Linked DNA regions of Rattus norvegicus. The protein of the gene in region 2 purifies or fractionates together with the protein of the main gene of each other region. This does not show direct contact. Links are inferred from orthologs where the notes say so. Each region holds a gene or a part of one and is shown on either strand. Other genes may lie near its edges.

The links. Proteins that work in one complex are often made in the same cells at the same time.
Region 1: the proteins of Fbxl12 (region 2) and Styx purify together in Homo sapiens (affinity purification with mass spectrometry; 4 studies listed by BioGRID and IntAct, with this or other methods). This does not show direct contact. The link is inferred for Rattus norvegicus from reciprocal best matches to the Homo sapiens genes FBXL12 and STYX.

Annotation. Positions count from the first base shown.
Region 1 is NC_086033.1:21,043,910-21,047,862, forward strand, and holds the start of Styx (serine/threonine/tyrosine-interacting protein), read left to right. Parts: upstream 1-1,153; 5' UTR 1,154-1,361; coding exon 1,362-1,418; intron 1,419-3,953. UniProt on the Homo sapiens protein: Catalytically inactive phosphatase. Acts as a nuclear anchor for MAPK1/MAPK3 (ERK1/ERK2). Modulates cell-fate decisions and cell migration by spatiotemporal regulation of MAPK1/MAPK3 (ERK1/ERK2).
Region 2 is NC_086026.1:27,454,973-27,458,968, forward strand, and holds the start of Fbxl12 (F-box/LRR-repeat protein 12), read right to left. Parts: upstream 2,801-3,996; 5' UTR 2,493-2,800; coding exon 2,407-2,492; exon of another isoform or gene 2,301-2,406; coding exon 2,228-2,300; intron 1-2,227. UniProt on the Homo sapiens protein: Substrate-recognition component of the SCF (SKP1-CUL1-F-box protein)-type E3 ubiquitin ligase complex.

The DNA.
Region 1 (3,953 bases), on a different chromosome or scaffold from region 2:
GAATTAAAGGTATTCACCACAGCACTTGCCATGGGATTATTTTTTAATTAAAAATTACTAGCAGGGTATTCTGTGCCTTTTGTAATTTCTAATATAATAGTTTATGTCATACTAGAGAACATGGAACATCTGATTGGCCAGCTAATTAATCATTGAACAGCTGTACTTCTGTATATTGAACATGCATTATATACATGACAACATGAAAAGAATTAAGAGGAAGTCTAAGTTAAACACATAGTCCTTACACTTTGTTTTTAAAGGATGGTTTTTGATAATAGTCCTGAGGTCTCTAGGAAGTCTTAAAATACACACCTTGCAGCCAAGCAACAATTCCTTTTGTGATACCAAAGGGTTGTTCAGACCAAGCAACAATTCCTTTAGTGATACCAAAGGGTTGTTCAGAACTTCAAACCAGGCCATTAGTCGTTTAGTTCCAGAACTCTTGAGAGTTTAAAGACCAGCCTGATCTACCTAGTGAGATCCTGAGACCATATATTCTTAACTTTTAAAAATTAACTTCAACGCAAGTTCCTCACACAGAATCATATGTTGAAAATTTTGACTCGGAGAAATCTTAAGAGTACTGAGTTCAATTTAGTAAGTAAACTATCACTTATATTTCTGATGACGTTTTCTATGAATCATTTTGAAATTTTCTGGATAATTTGAGTTGTTACACCCCGGATTATACCTAAGAAGCCACTTTCTACTTTAAAGGTGAAGAGTATCAAGTTTTTTGCGTAGTTTAACATGAATTTAAACTGAACTCTTCCTGTTTGGTTGTAACTAACTCCTACGGATTGGGCAGCATTCCTCTGAGTGCGGTCGGTCATGGGGAGCACTTTGAAGGGATTCCCATCCCGTCTGGGAAGGCCTAGCTGGCCCGACAGCAGACTGCCTTCCCCGACCTCTCGCCTTCCCTTCGGCCGCGGCTCCGCCCCGCGGGAAGCCCCTCCCCCCGCGTCTGCGCGCTCGCGGACCGGCAGGGCGGAGGCGCGCTGACACCTGGCGGCGGCGGGGGCGGGCCGTCGGCGAGCGTGGGCTGGGATTGGCTGTGGCGCGTGGGTTGGGGCGGGAGGAGACGGTTATGGGCTCGAGCCTGGGCCGGATTCCGGCTGTCTGAGGGGCGCGGAGACCTGCAGGAGGGAGACGGCCGCAGCATGGCGGCCCGCAGCGCACCGCCCTGCCATCCGCCTTCCTGTCGCAGCCGCCCGGACCCCGTGGTCCGCGAGTGCTTGCTGTGAGCCCGCCGCGCGTCAGCCCGCCATCCGCCCGCCCTCCTTCCCTTGTCGCCTCTGCCAGCCCGGGGGGGGGGGGCGGCCGGGCGCGCCGCAGCCACCCGCCGGGGCCCTTGGACCATGGAGGACGTGAAACTGGAGTTCCCCTCGCTCCCGCAGTGCAAAGACGACGCCGAGGTGAGTGCCCGCCCGCCGGCCCTGCGGCTGGCAGCCCCCGGGTAGCGCCCCTGGCCCTACTGTGCCAGACTCTTCCTGTTTCCCGTAGGGGGCGTCACTGAGTTCCTCCTCCCATGGGACCCCTGTCGGTAGGGCCAACCAGGAGAGTACCCCTGATCACTTTTGAACACAGACTCATCTTTGCCAAAGCAACACGCTGTGAAGTTGTTTTTAATCTGAGCTTGGTGTTAGGTTCACATGCGGGACACAGAGCCCCACGTGTGGAATAGACCGGAGGCGTGAACTCTGGAATTGAACCCTAATAGCTCTCAAGTCAAAAAAACAACTACCAACAAAAACCCCACAAAAAAACTATGACTAATAGGAAAAAAAGTCAAAAAGACAGCTTCTTTGAATTTGAAATTTTTTAGTCACAATTCTTGCCTTTGTAGGAAAGAACTGTCGAGAGCAAATTTCTCTCAATTTATGAATTTAGGGTTCTTTTCACTCCACCTTGATTTTTCTTTTCTTTACCTAACATCTGTTGCAAATATTTTATGGTACCAGAAAGTGTTAAATTAGAGTTCACCAGTGGCTAAATTAGTAACAAGACAAGGATTCTTAGCTGTGACACTTAATAGGATCAAAAAGGGATTCTAGAGTTTTGTTGTGTGTTTTGACTTACATGTCTTAATACTCACCTCTGGCTGTGCTGGAACTCACAGAGATCCACTGCCTCTGCACCCCAAATGGGAATGAAGGTGCCTCTCATCGTTTTAAAGGTATTTGGGTTACATATGAGATGGAGACTTTATACCATTCAATTCTGTTGAATGTCTTCATTTGATCACTTTCTTGTGTTTGTTTTGTTGTGGTTATGGGTTTTTGAGAAAGGATTTCTTTGTAGCCCCGGCAGTCCTGGAACTCTGTGCAGAGAAAACTGGCCTTAAAGTCAGTCTCCTGAGTACTGGTTTTAAAGGTGTGTGCCGCCAATCTTAACTACGTTTTTAAATGAATTTTAATTTTAAGCCAAGGTCTTGTGTAGCCAGGAATGTCCTTCAATCCCTTTTCTCCCAAGTGACAAGCATTTGGAGAATTCTTAGGAGTGATGGTTGAGACTTGAATATATTTTTAAGTTGAATCATAAATTTAAAAAAGATTTTGTACTTTTTTCTTTAATGTACAGTCAGGTAAATGAGGGGTATTGTATCTTCAAATAATTTTTCAGTTTCACAAGTGGTTTCTCTTGTGATAGAAGAAAAGAACCAACTCTGGCAAGCAGCCTTCTGACTTCTCCACAGAGAGAGATTGATTGAGGTTTAGAGTATGTGTTCTATCAGGGTCACTACTGCACATAGTGGAGGTGGAGTCCTGACTCCTAATTCTTTTGGGTTTTTAATACACCTTAATTCTTCCCTCCCCTATTCTTAGAAGTTATAACTTAATTCCCCCCCTTTATTGTAATTATATTTATTCCCTGCAAAAACTGTAACTTCTTACTTACTATTTCCCAATGATATATGTAAGGCATCAAAAACAATTTACAGTTTCTTTCACATAGAAAATCAAAAATCAAATCACTGCCAGGTGAGTGATGGCTTTCTTGTAGGTGGTGTGGTCCACCAGTCCCAGTGTCATTCATACATCCATTAGTCTGTATTGTCTGTCAACCATTTGGACTTCCTCTTACTTGGGATATAGTCATGAGGTTTATGCTAACATTTTCTAAACCTAATTACTTTCAGAGGCCCCCCTCAACACACTGTATTTGTATTGAGTTTCCACCTTTTAATTCCTTGTTTAGACATCTCAAGACTTGTTTCTGGGGAGATATACTCAAACATAGCTGTAGAGTTAAGGTGAGAAAACTCTCAAAGATCAGCATCTGATAGCAACTGGAATAATTTCAGATCCGTACTTATTCTAGTGAGGCTTAAGGTTATGTGTGTATGTGACCTGTGAATGGAGGTAACGTCTATTCTCTTGCTGCTCTGCAACTTGCTTTTAATTCTTGTAATTATTAATATTATTAGCAACAGGGTTTCTCTGTGTAGCCCTGACTATCCTGGAACTCATTATGTAGACCAGGCTAGACTCAAACTCATAGAGCCCTGCCTGCCTCTGCCTTCTTGATTCTTGGATTTGAAGATGTGTACTGCCACATCCTATTGTAGTAGTAACTTATTTTGGTATAAATATGTAGACAGTGTTTCATGGTCTTTTGTCTACAAACTTACACAGAGTGTGAATCAACTTTGGAATCTTGTTTTTGTTAAAAATTGAGATTCAAATTTCATTTTCTTTTTTTTTCTTTCCTTTTTTTTTTTTTTTCCTCTTTTTTTTCGGAGCTGGGGATCGAACCCAGGGCCTTGCGCTTCCTAGGCAAGTGCTCTACCACTGAGCTAAATCCCCAACCCCCCCTTTTTATTTTTTTAGATTTTATTTATTTATTATATATAAGTACACTGTACCTGTCTTCAGATACACCAGAAGAGGGCATCGGATCTCTTTACAGATGGTTGTGACCCACCATGTGGTTGCTGGGAATTGAACTCA
Region 2 (3,996 bases):
TGTGTGTGTGTGTATGTGTGTGTGAGAGAGAGAGAGAGACAGAGAGACAGAGAGACAGAAAGACAAGGAAGCTGAGGAAGATAGATACCCTACACTGACCTATGGCCTCTACTTGCTCTTTTTTTTTTTTTTTTTTCCCCGAAGCTGGGGACCGAACCCAGGGCCTTGCGCTTCCTAGGCAAGCGCTCTACCACTGAGCTAAATCCCCAACCCCCTCTACTTGCTCTTGTACACATCTGTATTTGCACTCATGCATATACACACACATGTAGATGTAGGTACATGCACACAAAACTATGCAATCAAAAAAACAATACAGTGCATTTCATTGTATGTTCATTTTATCCAAAAGAAAAGAAGAGAAAAGAAAGCTGGGTAGAGCAAACGATTTGTTGCTTATGCTGGGATGGAATCCAGGACCTCGGGTATAGTAAGGACATGGCTGAGAACTCAGTTATAACCCAGTTCACAGCACACCCTTACTTTTAATGACACTGGGGAGTGAAATCCAGGGCCTCGTGCAGCCCAGGAAAACATTCTAGAGCTGAATCACAGTTCCAGGCCTTCTCTGAATTTGTACTTCAAGGCAGGGCAGAGGTAAATTGCCCAGGCTGGCCTTGAACTTATGATCTTCCTCTCTCAACCTCTGTAGTAACAAGTCTTTACTAGGCCCAGTCTTACGGTATAAAATTTCTTGACCACTTTTTAACAGAGAAAATAAATCTTTTAAAAAATAATCTGTTGCTAGAGAAATGGCTAACACTTTTTATGACTTTATTCTATTACTATAAAATTTCGCTGGACAGAGTTAGTGCACACACATCATTAGTCCCAGTAGGTGGAACTGGAGTTCAAGGCCCACCTGGTCTACAGACTGAGCTCCAGGACTGCCAGTGCCACACAGAGAAACCCAGTCTCAATAAAAATAATAATAAAGTAAAAAAAATTGTCATGGAATTATTCTATTTAAACACGTATTTGAGAAAACCCAACTCTGTATTCTCCGTACATGGTTAGTCACTCATATTTGGCTCCAGAGTAAATTCTTATCCACTCTGAGGTAACAGTTATATTTCGCATTGACAGATGCTGTCTCAAAAGACCAAAAAATAGAAATTGGGCACGAGGCTGTGTCAGTGAAGTGCTTGCCTAGCAAACCGGCGTGGATCTGGTTCTCAGCACCACATGGACTGTGTGATGGCACACACCTGTAATCCCAGCCCTCAGGAAAAGGCAAGAGGAGCAGAATCTTTGTCATCCCAGGCTGCATGGCCAGCTGGAAGCTACCGTGGGATACATGAGACCCATCTCAAAAACTAAAACAACAAACCCAGAACACTGAAAAGTTATGAGCTTGCATTTATTGAATGCTGGAGACCACACACTGGTCTAAATCATCTCTCTCTGCAACTGGCTAAGTTCTACAATATGCCAGACATGAAGGCACTTTTTTGTTTTTCTTGGTGCAAGAGATGGAGCCAAGGCTTCACCAGAGTCAAACACTCCGTCACCGATAGCTCCACAAGCATTATCTTTAATCCCCATATCTTGGATGAGAAACTGAGGTCTGAACGTTGCAGAGGAGGAGAAAAGGCTACTGCTAGGATAGACATGCAGAAAATTCCAAGCACGAACTCACTTAAAAACCAAACCAGTGGGGTGGTGGTGCACACCTTTAGTCCCAGCACTGGAGGAGGAGTTCCAGGCCAGCCAGGGCTACAGAGAAATTTTACTTGGAGGAAAAAAACAAATAAACAATACCCAAACACTTCCTGGGCCAGATAAGGTGGCCCACAGCTGTAATTTCAGCACTGAGCAGATTAACGGAGGGGGTGGTTAGTTGGAAACCAGTACATGACTCAGTCAGAAGAGTGCCTTCCTAGCATTCAAGAAACCTAAATTCCATCCCCAGTATTACAGAAATCAGGCATGGAGGCCGACTCTGGTAATCCCAATACTTAGAGGGCGAGGTAGATTAGAAATTCAAGCTCAGCCTCAGCTTCATAGGAAGCTGGAAGCCAGTTTGGGATAGAGATCCTGTCTCAAAACACCCCCCCTCCAAAAAAAATCAACAAAAATACAGAAAAATAAAAGCCTTTAGAAAGTATCAAAAATAAATAAATAAAACCAAGAGCAAACAAACACTAGAAAACAAAATAAAGCACAGGCCCCTCTATCCCAGGGCAGGAGGTTGGCTCTCCCCGCACCGCTCCCGGGTCCCGCGTACCGTGTAGAGCGTCAGGTCGACGTGTCGCCACAGCCACCGGTCATCCACTAGCCTCTTCCAGCGGTGACAGACCCTGGAGGAGTGGACCGGCCGTTAGAACGACCCGGCCCGCTGGGACCGGATCCGCCTCTCCTGCCGAGCCCATGCCCGGCTCTTTCTCCCGAGGAGCGGGGCCGCACCTGGAGATGCGGATCCGGTCCCGGACAGGGAGGTAAGAGAAGATCTCCAAGAGCACCAAGTCTGGGAGGTCAAACAGCGTCGCCATGGTCCAGCCGTCGCGCGCTTCCGTTTCCGGTGGCCGGGAGGCCGCGCTCCCTGGAGGGTGCTGAGGTGGCCGGACTGGCCAAACCGGCGCGACTTTCCGAGGCCTGCCGAGGATCCCTACCTTCCTAGGAAAGTGCCTGAGGCCCCAGGACTGTACTGGCGCGGCCTGACGACCGTTTGGAGGACCAGACTAGAGACTGACTAGGCCTGACTAGCTTGACTAGCGGATGGAACTGGAAATAGGAAAACCTAGATGTGGCTTGGGAGAGGAGGGGGCACGAGGCGTGGCCAGGCCAGGGGAAGACGAACAGCAAACCCGGAAAGCTGGGGGTGATGACCGCCTCGGAGGCGTGGCCATGAGGTGGCGCTAAGGATAAGCAAGCAAAGCCAGAGGGGGTCAGCAGACAAGCCAGGCGTGGCTCTGACAAGGAGGGGACTCAGGACGTAGCCGAGCGGTGAGACGTGACGAGCTCAGGCAGATAGACGCCTTGTAGGCCCGGCTGAGGAAAGCTACACGCCTAGAAGGCGTGGCTCCGGCGGGCAGGGAGTGGTCCTGGGGCGTGGCCAGGGGAGCCAAGGGACCAGGGGACCAGGGGACCAGGGGGCCAGGAGGCCAGGGGGCCAGGCTGAGGAAAAGCAGCAAACTCCCAAAGTTGAACTCCGGGAGAGAGGTAAAGAGACAGAGACTAAGAGCAGCGGGTGTCGCAAGCGAGACCAAAGTACTAGCATTTGAAAAAGCGCCGCCGAGTGGAGGGGTGTGGCCAGGGGCAGAGGAGCAAATTGGAGGCTGTCAGTAACAATGGAAGGCGTGGCTTCAGTAGGAAGAGACCAAGGCGCGCGTCTTTGTGGGACTAGAGCCGAGAAGGCTTGGCTTGAGCTGGAAAAGGTTTAGGGTTGTTGCTAAGCAAACATCATCCAAGGACCAGACCGCATATCCAGAAGAGATGACTTGAGCAGTGAAAAGCTAACAGAGCAGCAAACCCAGAAACCATGACTTGTGTGGGAAGGGGCTCAAGAACCAGGAGTCCTAGCTGGGCCTTAAGACCAAGTTTGTAAAAACCTAGCTTAGGCGTAACAGGGTCCGACATAGGGGATGGGTGGGCGGCAAAGGGAGAAGCTGGGGGACTTAGGACTGGAGTAATGATTAAGAGCAGGAACGAGGTCTAAAAAGCATCGCTGGAGACAGAAACAAGAGCTGAACCAGGAGCTACGTGTGCAGCTCAGTGAGAGAGCCCTTGGCTGCTAACATGCTAGAAGGTCCTAGGTTTGACCTCCGACACTAAAACAAATACCAAAACAAAACAAGAAAAACAAAGCTCACTCTCCAATATGGGAGTCGGGTAGAGCCTGGGAAGTCTTTTCGGAACGGAAACGAGGCATTGGAGAAGAGATATTGGAACAGGACTTCATTCGAAACTGAAAAGTGTGACTGGGATGGGGATGAGGAGCCAGCAGGACAGCCAAGCCAGGGAGGCGTGGCCACAAGCCGCAATAGAAAGCAAAAG